Linked DNA regions of Bombyx mori. The protein of the gene in region 3 binds, or shares a complex with, the protein of the main gene of each other region. Links are inferred from orthologs where the notes say so. Each region holds a gene or a part of one and is shown on either strand. Other genes may lie near its edges. The genes, in order: LYR motif-containing protein 4; iron-sulfur cluster assembly scaffold protein IscU; cysteine desulfurase, mitochondrial.

Region 1 (3,761 bases), on a different chromosome or scaffold from region 3:
TGAATAAAAAACTCTGCATTATACTATTTATTAGTCAAATGTACATTATACATTACAGATGTTTCATAATAATATACAATTATAAACATGAAGCTACCGCAGATTTTCGATAACAAGTTTTTCTGTTTTATACATATTTCCAATGGCTGCCTGTAAAACAAGATGATTTCATATATGAATTAATCACAATAGTTTAACCTTTTAGTGCAGTTAGATCAGAGGTGGGGTGTAGTGGTAGTTTTCCAATTACAGAGCATAATGCGACTCAGTGACGCACAATGCCAAATTATGCTGAAGCTTAATTGGAACGTGAATTAGTTTTGAAATGCATCAGCAGAGTGCGCTAAGTTAGCACAGTCTTAATTAACATTGATTATTTCTAAGAAACTACGACGAAACGAAAGCCTTACAATTTTTTTCAACATTAAATAATATTACTAACGATAATATAAACAAAATTTCGATCAATGCCAACTTAAAGAAAAAACACTTGTCAATTTTCTGTCACTGAGTCGGTATCGATTGCGAGTATCACGCGAGAGCAGTACTTTTGAGAGTGCTCAATTGTGCTTCGAGTTGCTGCAGTTGGAACATTCAACGTTGAGCATTATGCCGCATAATGAGCTCTTGTGCTGTAATTGGAAAACTACCAGAGTGAGCCTGAATAGATTGGTACCATAATCTCTCCCAGCTCTCTCAGCTCAGCTCGGCAACCACATTTTCTTATTTGAATGAGAAAAAGATCAGTTGTTTAATATTTTGATCAAATCAACATTTCAAACCCATCACAGTAGGGATGAAGTATACTTTATTTTCATTAATAGAAATTTTAGAAAATTGGTTCTCCTTTCCTGCTCCTGAAGACCAACACTGCAAAATGCACTGCAATAAGACTAAGGACAAATTGTAAAAAGCAAAAGGTGGCAGATTTCCCATTGTAATGTTTATAGACTACCGTTACCACTTAACTGATGTGATATAAAGGAAACCAAGATATAAATATAATACTTTTCTAAATAAAATATAAGCTAATTATCACATGTGTTTGATAACATAAATGAAACATATTCACACACCTGTCTCCTGATAACATTTAAATTTTCTTTTCCAAATTCAAACTCTTTCTTCACAATCTTAACATCAGACACATTTTTATTATCTTTAAAAGCATCTCGAATTCTTCTTAGTGCGTATGCTCTGAAAGGATGAATGGTTAAAATTTAGCATTTTTTGATAAATTGTTGATTAATTAATTCATAATTTATTGAGGCTTTGAAAATCTCGTTCATTTTAATTACTGTAACTCTGATGCTGTAGTTATTAATTGAGGCTGATTTTTTTATTTAATTATCTAATTAAGTTTGCTTAAAATGTGTCTTGTCCGCCTAAAAAACTAAAATAACAATTTAAATGCATGAAAATGATAATCATTTATAGCATCATCATCAGTCTACATAATTTTACTGGACATAGGCCATCCTCAAGCTTCACCACAGTGACTGATCCTAAGCTGTTCAAATCTGACAGATTCTCACAACTTCAACATACTGTGGGTCTACCTTCTGGAAGGATTACTTGTACTACAGATTTTGGTGTAGAGTTGCAATAGTGACCATTTTTTCTATGAGCTATATGCCCCTCACAGTGCTAATTTAAACTCGTTGATTACTTATCATAATGAGTAATTAATATTAATGAAGTGCATTAATATCACATTCATCATTCCATTTACCTGACTCATTTCAATTATTATCCAAATAATTGATTCCAAACAAGCTTGATAATTTTTGATTGCGTTGAAATTCATTTTTTTCGCTTTTTTTTTATAGCAAGGGTGGACGAGCTCACAGCCCACCTGGTGTTAAGTGGTTACCGGAGCACATAGACATCAACAATGTAAAGGCCGCCACCCACCTTGAGATATAAAGTCTAAGGTCTCAGTATAGTTACAATGGCTGCCCCAGCCCCTTCAAACCGAAACGCATTACTGATTCATGGCAGAAATAGGCGGAGTGGTGGTACCTACCCGTGCGGACTCTGAAGACGTCCTACCACCAGTAAATACATTTACTTAAGCCTAATAGAATTTGGTAGCCACATATCATGACAAAATTAAAAATGTATTGACTTTGTTTGTAATTTAAGAAGGTAACAAAATTATGCTTTTGTGTTCACTAGTAACGTTGGAGTAAATCTTTCATTTGTTTTAGGTTATATAATGGTGCAAAACATTACCTGAAATTATAGTTAGGGAACTTCTGGGATTCTCTGAGAAGCAATTTATAGAGAGATAATATTTGTATTTTAGGTATCGCGCCAGACATTTCGCTTTATTATTCGACAAGCTTATTAAAAACTATAATATATTGATAAAAGGTAATACCCAATGATATTTGTCTTACGAATTGTTATGACCAGTTATGACATTACACTCCAGTTTTTTTATGTAAACAAAAATTAGACGTTCCGTATTACACGGTGTTAAACCTTTATTTGTTATAAAATAAATTTATCGTGCAAAACTTTTGAATTGTGATAATAAATGTAAAAGAAGGTAAATTCGTAAGTTTCGCGTCTGGGTAGAAGTTTCAATTCGACTTTGATTATTAGTCACAATTTACACTAGTAAGGATGTAAATTTAAGTAGCCTTTGTCTAGCTACACTACAGGATACCGAAAAGTGTACATTGTCAATTTGGTCTAACGTCAGTAACATCTGATTTGACATTCCCGATGTTTTAATAACATTTGCGATCTGATAATTACAAATTCAAATATTGTTATGCTCGTCAGCCGTCATTCTAAGACATATATAGGTACTTACTAAATTAAACAGTGAGTTAAAAGTTTGATGAAATTTAAATTATTTTAACCAAATTATCCAAAGGAAACAAACAACAAAAGTACTTTGTTTACAAGACTAGCGAAGAAAATTGTCATATTTTTGTCAAAGAAGTTAGGATTTCTAGACCATTTTTAAAAATTCACTTGCCTGCACATTTTGTTGTGTAACTTAGCGGAAGATGATTACTAAACATGTTTTGTATGTAAATCACTTAATATGTGTTATGTCAAGTTATGAAAGTTAGCAAAGGAATACAATTTACATACCATGTAACACAAATATTACATACCATGAAATGCCTAATATTAACTTTAATTTTTAAAAACAATTTTCAAAACTAAAAAGAAATAAAGAGACTATTTCGCTTGGTCATTGAAATAATTATCAGGTTAAAATCTAAAATTCTAAACAGATACTATAATAATAAAAAACAAATTAATGATGAAAATTGAATATCATTAATTAAGTTGCAATGGAAATTAAATTAAATATTATCCATAGTAAAAAAGTAAAGTAATTATATAAGAAGTAGTTTAATATTAATGTATTTGTAATTCAATCCTCATATCTCAAGGAATCTTGTGCTCTTTATATTCTGATTTCTTGTGTGGCCCCTGTGGTTGCTGATTAAAACAGGCAACCATGAGCCATCTGCCATCCTGGCTACTAAATTATTGATTTCAGTTCATGGAATATTCACCATCGCACAAGAATTGGCATGATGAGGAAAGATATCACGTGCACAGCGATGAGAGTCCTGTATTGTCTTACAGGTAATTAAAATTAATTGAAATGTATTAAATCTTACTGGTTCTTTTATATAGAAGTTGCATTAAACTATTATTTATTAAAATTAACATTCGTTGACATTTTAAGGAGTCTGTAAACCCTAAACAACTGAGAAAGACATGAGATG
Region 2 (3,761 bases), on a different chromosome or scaffold from region 3:
CGCGGTAGAATTTTTTTTGGCCCGTGAAGCATTTTATTATTATTAAAAACACAAATATTAGTTTTTGTATAACATAAATGCTGGTGGGAGCCAAAATGTTCTCCCGGACAACCCCTCTTTTCAGCGCCTCCTATTCGAAAATATAATTATGATAATTGAACAATTACAGTATGTATAAGAGTCGCACAATTTTATTAGTTATTATACTTATTATATCACATTATTGCATGAATAAACAAAATAACTTAAATCTAAAGCCGCCATTTTCTCCTGCAATATAGTAGAACGCAAGTTATTTTATATTAATTTTCATTTGGAGGAATATCTGTCCGCAATAAATTGGCAGAAAATTAAACGAAATAAAAGCATATATAGATCTACTGAGGGTGCATGCATCGTAAAACACTAAAGAAATAATGAAACTGAAACTCATGTATTTGCTTAACATATTTTTCAATTCGAAGAGTCGAACTAATTTTCTCAAAAGTTATAAAAAAATTATTAATTGACATCCTAAGCAAAAACTATACTTAAAATTAGAAAAAAAAAACTGTTTTGCCCGAGGTCAAATTTTCATCTGCAATGTGGCCCGACTATCAAAATATTTGCCCACCCCTGCTATAGTGTCCAGTATACTAATCATAAATCAACCACAGAGTGAAGGCACAAGTACAATGGTCCTAATTCAATGGTTCATATTCATTAAAATTATTATGCCACCGTGACCGTAGATAGTATTTTGCTTAATTTGTATCTGGACCAGAATATTTTCTGTGTTACACTAACTTTTCCTTAGCATTTTTTATTGCTGAGATGGATCAATAAGCTTACATGCCACCTGTTATTAAGTAATTACCAAATCCATAGTTATTCCAATAATGCATTTTAAAATTCAGTATGGTAAAATATGATGCTTTATTTAATCACAGACAATAGCTTCATGTGTGTGGTATCAAATTAAAGTACTTAGTGTCTGTAATTCATATGAAAAGAACTTAAAAAATTTGGTAAATGTTCTGACTCTTTACAGTTCCAGTAAAAAAAGTTTTGTACATATCATTACTATGTTGATAAATTGCAGTTTAACAATTAAAAACTTACTAGAGCAATGAAGCTTGACTGGTGGTAAGGACAGCTCTTTAGCAATATCTGTGTTCTTCAATTTTAGTGCCTCATCAACTGTTTTTCCTTTAACCCATTCAGTGGCAAGAGAGCTTGAAGCTATAGCTGAACCACATCCAAAAGTTTTAAATTTGGCATCAACGATTTTTCCATTCTCGTCCACTTTGATTTGCAACTTCATTACGTCTCCACATGCAGGTGCACCAACGAGGCCTGTACCTACATTTTTATCTTTCTTATCCAATGAACCAACATTGCGAGGATTCTCGTAATGGTCAATGACCTGTAAGATAAAGTATACTCTTATTATACATACTAATTTTATAAATCTGAAACTGTAATTGTTTGTTTGTTTGTCCCTTTGGTTAGATAGCAATGAATTCACATTTTCTTGAAATCGGCAATTCTAAATCCCTTAGTTAGTATAATAATATTTTGACTAGCTCAGTGAAACAGTTGCTGGCACTCTTTTTCCACTAGGGCGAAGATATTGCATAACTTAAATTCTCACATTAGACAATTACTTGAAATCTCAATCCTTAATAGTACTTAGGATGTATCCTTCTTCTTACCTATATGGTTGTAATGAAAGTGTATTTTATTTGTAGTTGAAAATTTTATGGTGAAAAATTTGTAGGTGATGAGATGACACTACAAACATACATGTAGAAAAAAAGGTAGTGGATATTTCCATCTAAGTATTATTTTTATTTAAGTAATTTACTATTAAAGTTGATTCAAATAATAAATTTTCGATCGAATGTACATTCTGGATTGTTCGACAAAAACTTGACACTCGTGAGGCTTATTTTATTATTTAAACAGCTTAAAGAGCTTGTTATAAATCTTAAGAGAAAATGAAATTATAAATGTATACTTTCCAAAATTTATACAATTTTCGATTGCATGTTGCAAGAAATGTCTAAATTTCGAAAATAATTTCTAATCGAGAATGGTTCCGGGAGTTTATTTTAAAAGACTCTTAATTAATTATTAACATTTTAATCGGCCGACCATTAGCTCCTACTCGCTTTTTCTGATGGTCAAGGTTTTTGCCAAAATTACGTCGCAAAGTAGAAAATCGATAATCCTTGACATTGGCAAATATTTTTGATGCATATAGGTACTTACGTTTGCATGATAAGGTGCCGCAAGAATCACATTAGGACTTCCAAAGCCTTTAAGACACATACATCGACGAATTCCGTTGATTAAAAAAGCCATTTTATATATTTCAGAAAAACAAATTCAGATGATAAACGTTCTTATATTTTAGACGACGTAGTCATAGATTATACACTTATTATATTTGGACGTAGTTTCAAGTTTTCAAGTATATAGTACTATATAGTTGGGTTTTTTTTAAAGGGATTTTGTGACCTGGTAACTAAGACCTTTAAGTCATGTCTTATTTTAATTTAAATATATTCATATTTTTATAAAAAATGATATTATGGAGTGAAATGAAATGAAGATGATTAATTTGAGACATTAATAAACTGGGATGAAATTAAATGAGATGATTTGGGATGAAATATAATCTCAGTAAAATGGTGGTCATTTACTGAGATTTTTTCAGTGGACTTTTTGGAGGATCCCGAGAAGTTACGTTCAGTGGCTTTGTTTCATTTCCCCACATTTGTGCACTTTCACAAATATTAAACGATTAATAAACCACCGTTATTACACATTTAAACCTGAAGAAACACTAAATAGACAAAATTAATAAAAAAAAATCATACAACTTCACTCCTCGCGTTCCCGCCAAAAAAGACCAATAATAGGTACCGTAAAATGGGGCGATTAGGGATCGAGAGGTGATTGGGGAAAAAAACAGGAAAATCTTTCGACGCGCAATACTAGTTTTTTAATCGTTGCAAAATCTTCCATTTTTTGTAGTGTAATAGTAGAATGTTGAAAGTTCACAAAACAACTCTGAATATGCATGATAATAACTTATAAAAAATCGTGTTTCAAATTAACTTTCTGTGGTGGTAATTATTTTAGTGCTAGAAACTTTGTTCTCTTTTATTTATTTTAAAATAATAGAAGAGGACTGTGATTTATAAACGCAAATTAGTGTTTGAACCATCATATATAAAATAAATAAATAAATAAATATTTACTAATAATCACGCCACGTTAACTGGTCCCGTGATAAGTTCGTAAAGAACTTGTGTTACAGGTACCAGATAACGGAAATAAATGTAAGATTTTGATTATACACATACATATATTTAATATACAACCATAACCCTGGAAAAGACATTTATATTTATCATATAATAATCTTCCCTTGGCGGGATTCGAACCCGCGACCACCTTGTGTAGTGACCATGTCACTTACCACTACACCAGACGGCCGTTATATTAAAGGTAAGTCTCAGTTGTTATTGGTATTAATGTATTTGATAAAATAAAAATACATGTAAAAATCTGTTGTTTTTGGGGATATTGGGGACGTCTCAGGTACAAATAACAACGAAAAAGGGGTCGATTGGGATGAGAATATGTGAAATGGAAACGACCTAAGTATAAATAGGTACAGGTTTCTAGGGTTGTCTATGTAATTATAACAATATTTTTTTTAATTGTTGGTAAGAATCTGGTTTATTCATGATGTTTTTGTCTACAACTTT
Region 3 (3,761 bases):
CACCCACCTTGAGATATGTTCTCAGGTCTCAAGTATAGTAAGGAGCTAAGTTTATTTCTATAATTTTGTGTTACCTTACCAAATATCATCTTTCAATAGAAGTTACAAAAAATGTAAACAAGCTTAAACATTGAAACAGCCAATCTAATGATGTAATGAACTAGAAAACCATTTAAGACAGAATTTTCCACTCATTTGTTGGAGACAATATTTTAGAGAAATTACTTAATTAACATAGTAAGTAAAGTAAAATTTAAATCACAGCTATGCTCCTGTTTCCCTCAAAAATTTATAAGATCGGAATGCAAATATAATACTTAATTAAATTTAATAATATAAATCTGAAAACACCCAATAATAAAGTGACATGTAACTATCTGGCAGCACAACACATGTAATGTAATTAGGTATGTACTTATAAATAAATGATTGTAATAATTACATATATTACAAGTCTTGGAATTTTGTATTTGATAGCGTAAGTACCTACCCAAGGGCTAGGGGTCGTCTGAAATCAATGGATTCAGACTCATCTCAAATGTATGGATTGTAAAACTGTGACTGAGCCTCTAGGAGGCCTGTAATACTGAATATTAAAAAAATATAATCCCACATAAGTAGTTGATATTACCCTGCCAATTTCTGGTACAGAGCCGTTATGCATTAAGTTTGAAGCTTGAGACCACCATACAATTGAAGTGAGACAGCAATATCATGTCTCGAGGGGAGTAATTGATGTTACTTTGAATGAAATATTAAACTTTTATGATAATGCAAATTGTCAAACAATTTTATTTTATTGCAAGGTCAGATAAAGTTTATAATTTATTTACATTACTGTTAAATTATAAAATATTACAAGTTAATGATGATAAGACAATGTCAACAAATTTTTGGATCTTGAGGTTAAATTAGTTTATTAATGTTCCTTGCTATCATATCACACAATATATTTAAAGTTGAAAGGTTATTAATATATAACAAATTAACAAAAAAATATAAACATTACAGAGATTACAAATCACAATAGCACATAATGAAAAAAGTTTACATGTTTACAAACCTATTTCATTATTGACAGTCATTATAGATACCAAACTGGTTTCTGGCGTGATGGCATCTTCCAAATCCTTTAAATTTATAATTCCATTCTGTTGGACTGGTAAATATGTAATTCTGAAACCTTCACCTTCTAAAGCACGACATGAGTCTAAAACACATTTGTGTTCCTGAAGAATAAAAACTCCATTATTACCAAAATATAATTTTTGAAAAAAAAAAAGCAACAATGTAATCTTGTGACTATAGTGTAAGTGTAAACTTGTGTTAATAGACAGACTAAATGAAAATTACAACGACTGAAATAAATAATAAATAACGACGCTTGAAAGGCAAATGTGACTAAGCGACAATAACTGCTTTGTATGAGGCCTATGTCTATAATAATATGAATGATAGGCAATAACCATATTCGATGTGCAAAAAATATATATTTCTAGGTCTATTAAATTCATTTCAATCCTACAGCTAGATTCATTAAAATATAATTTTTTTCGGGTATTTCAACTTTAAATTAGTCTACTGTAAAGTTCACGCATTGTCGCTTAGTCACGTTTGCCTTTCAAGTGTCGATAAGTTCATTCTAATGGCTATGAATCAATCTTTTACTTAGCTATTATAATTTATGCAGTGAGTTAAAAATATAATGTTTATTATAGAAATTTCTACTACTAAAGGACTTTTTTGAATAAAAATAATTAAAAACTTACAATTTGAGTAGTAATGACATGCTTTTTTCTTGGTGCATAAAATCGACCCACACCTTTAACAGATATGTTATTTGATTCTGTTGCTCCTGAAGTAAATATAATTTCTTTTGGTTCAGCATTTATTAAATTTGCCACTTGTTCTCTGGCTTTTTCAACAGCAGCTTCACTTTCCCATCCATACGCATGAGTTCTTGAATGTGGATTGCCATGATAACTTACTAAGTATGGTAGCATTACATCAAGAACTCTAGGATCCTGAAGTTAATTGCACTTAAATCTCCATTCATAAGTGATATGAATAAATGTAAAATTTTCGTATCATGTTCTACTTACCATTGGTGTAGTGGCTTGAGCATCGAAATACAAAGGCCGGCCAACTTCCTCATGTTTTAATGAAAATTTGTCATTTGCTGAAACATGTACTGATTTTAACTTTTTATAATAAATTTGCAACAAAATTAAATTTTGCAGTAAATGTTTATTGAATAACAAATGTATTTGATGTGGGAAGTTGACACGTAATGTATAATATTCCATGTTTACTCAAAAAATTGTGGCAATTGTGATGTAAATGATTAGCACATTTTGTTGATAGGGTAAAAATCAATAATATAGCGTAACTTTGTATAATATTATGACATTGAATATACACTATTAACTTAAACCTTAGAACATAGAAATTAGATACAAAAATAAGTAGGTATAATACTAATTAAATCATGGTAGTTTACCAGAATCGGAAAAAAAATTGCTTTGCTCAAATATAACAACGCCGTTTCCATTTAATTGGGTTTTCTGTTTTATTGCGGATTTACAAACCACCGAAATCACGTTTTTTGTCAAACGGAACATTTTGAATGAAATAAATTAAACAATTTTGCAAGTTTAAAAACAAGCAATTCTTAACCAGAGTCTTGACTAAAATAATTTCGAATTCATATCATTCATTCATATGATTCAATCGTGTGATTGACATTTGTTTTTTTTTTTAATTTATTTACGGCCAACGGTTACAAGACCTTATAGACTATTGACACTTGTTGTCAGGGCAGTGTGACCAGATTTCATTTGATGAATCTACTGCTTGTGGAGGTTAAAATCTACTGAATTCTACCAAAAGAGAAAGAGAAATACTAAAAATCTATTATACTTTTTTTACTGTCGTGTTACAATGTAAATTGTGAAATATTGTTATGTGTATATAACAATTAATTATTTTAATTTAACAATAAAATATAATTTAACAATAAACAATAAAATAATAAAAAGAAACCACAATTAATTAAAGAGACAATGTTCTTGTTTAAATTAAATTCTAATTAAAAATATAATTTTCGTCTTTAGGTTGGGTAACATTTGCATAAAGTTGTTTTGAGTGGACTTTTGGCGGGAACGTGAGGAGTGAAGTTGTGTGATTTGTTTTATTTTGTCTAGTTAGTGTTTCTTCAGATTTAAACGTGTAATAGCGGTGGTTTATTAACTGTTTAGTATCTGTGAAAGTGCACAAATTTGGGAAAATAAAACAAAGCCACTGAACGTAACTTCTCGGGATCTTCCAAAAAGTCCACTGAAAAAGTCTCAGTAAATGACCACCATTTTACTGAGATTATACTTCATCCCATATCATCTCATCTCATGTCATTTCATTTCGTTTTCATTTCACTTTATGCCATGTTTCATCATAATCAACTTCATTTCATTTTATAATATCATTTTCATTTATAAAAGTTACGTATCATTAAAATTAAAATAAGACTTGACCTAAAGGTCTTAGTTACCAGGTCATAAAATACCTTAAAAAAAAAAAGTTGTTTTGAGTCCATTGATATCTTGTACTTCTGTCAGGATCAAATGTGTGACATCAACTGTCATAGCCCCTCTTTTTCATGCATTAGGTATTGCAGCAACATTCTTATTATTAAATCGATTTCGATCTTGATTTTTAATCCTATATTAATAGGATATTAATCAGAAATTATTCTTTCTACTTTG

The links.
Region 1: cysteine desulfurase, mitochondrial (region 3) and LYR motif-containing protein 4 share a complex: the UniProt entries of both Drosophila melanogaster proteins name them as parts of the mitochondrial core iron-sulfur cluster (ISC) assembly complex. The link is inferred for Bombyx mori from reciprocal best matches to the Drosophila melanogaster genes Nfs1 and bcn92.
Region 2: cysteine desulfurase, mitochondrial (region 3) and iron-sulfur cluster assembly scaffold protein IscU share a complex: the UniProt entries of both Drosophila melanogaster proteins name them as parts of the mitochondrial core iron-sulfur cluster (ISC) assembly complex. The link is inferred for Bombyx mori from reciprocal best matches to the Drosophila melanogaster genes Nfs1 and IscU.

The regions. Positions count from the first base shown.
Region 1 is NC_085108.1:8,217,333-8,221,093, forward strand, and holds LYR motif-containing protein 4, read right to left. Parts: upstream 2,560-3,761; 5' UTR 2,325-2,559; coding exon 2,236-2,324; intron 1,198-2,235; coding exon 1,077-1,197; intron 151-1,076; coding exon 94-150; 3' UTR 13-93; downstream 1-12. Other genes in the region: uncharacterized protein LOC101737726, read left to right, coding at 3,533-3,618. UniProt on the Drosophila melanogaster protein: Stabilizing factor of the core iron-sulfur cluster (ISC) assembly complex that regulates the stability and cysteine desulfurase activity of Nfs1 and participates in the [2Fe-2S] clusters assembly on the scaffolding protein IscU.
Region 2 is NC_085129.1:12,109,322-12,113,082, reverse strand, and holds the start of iron-sulfur cluster assembly scaffold protein IscU, read right to left. Parts: upstream 2,461-3,761; 5' UTR 2,347-2,460; coding exon 2,254-2,346; intron 1,406-2,253; coding exon 1,025-1,405; 3' UTR 1-1,024. UniProt on the Drosophila melanogaster protein: Scaffold protein for the de novo synthesis of iron-sulfur (Fe-S) clusters within mitochondria, which is required for maturation of both mitochondrial and cytoplasmic [2Fe-2S] and [4Fe-4S] proteins.
Region 3 is NC_085110.1:10,989,714-10,993,474, forward strand, and holds the start of cysteine desulfurase, mitochondrial, read right to left. Parts: upstream 2,817-3,761; 5' UTR 2,622-2,816; coding exon 2,501-2,621; intron 2,180-2,500; coding exon 2,103-2,179; intron 2,025-2,102; coding exon 1,770-2,024; intron 1,230-1,769; coding exon 1,064-1,229; intron 1-1,063. UniProt on the Drosophila melanogaster protein: Catalyzes the removal of elemental sulfur from cysteine to produce alanine. It supplies the inorganic sulfur for iron-sulfur (Fe-S) clusters.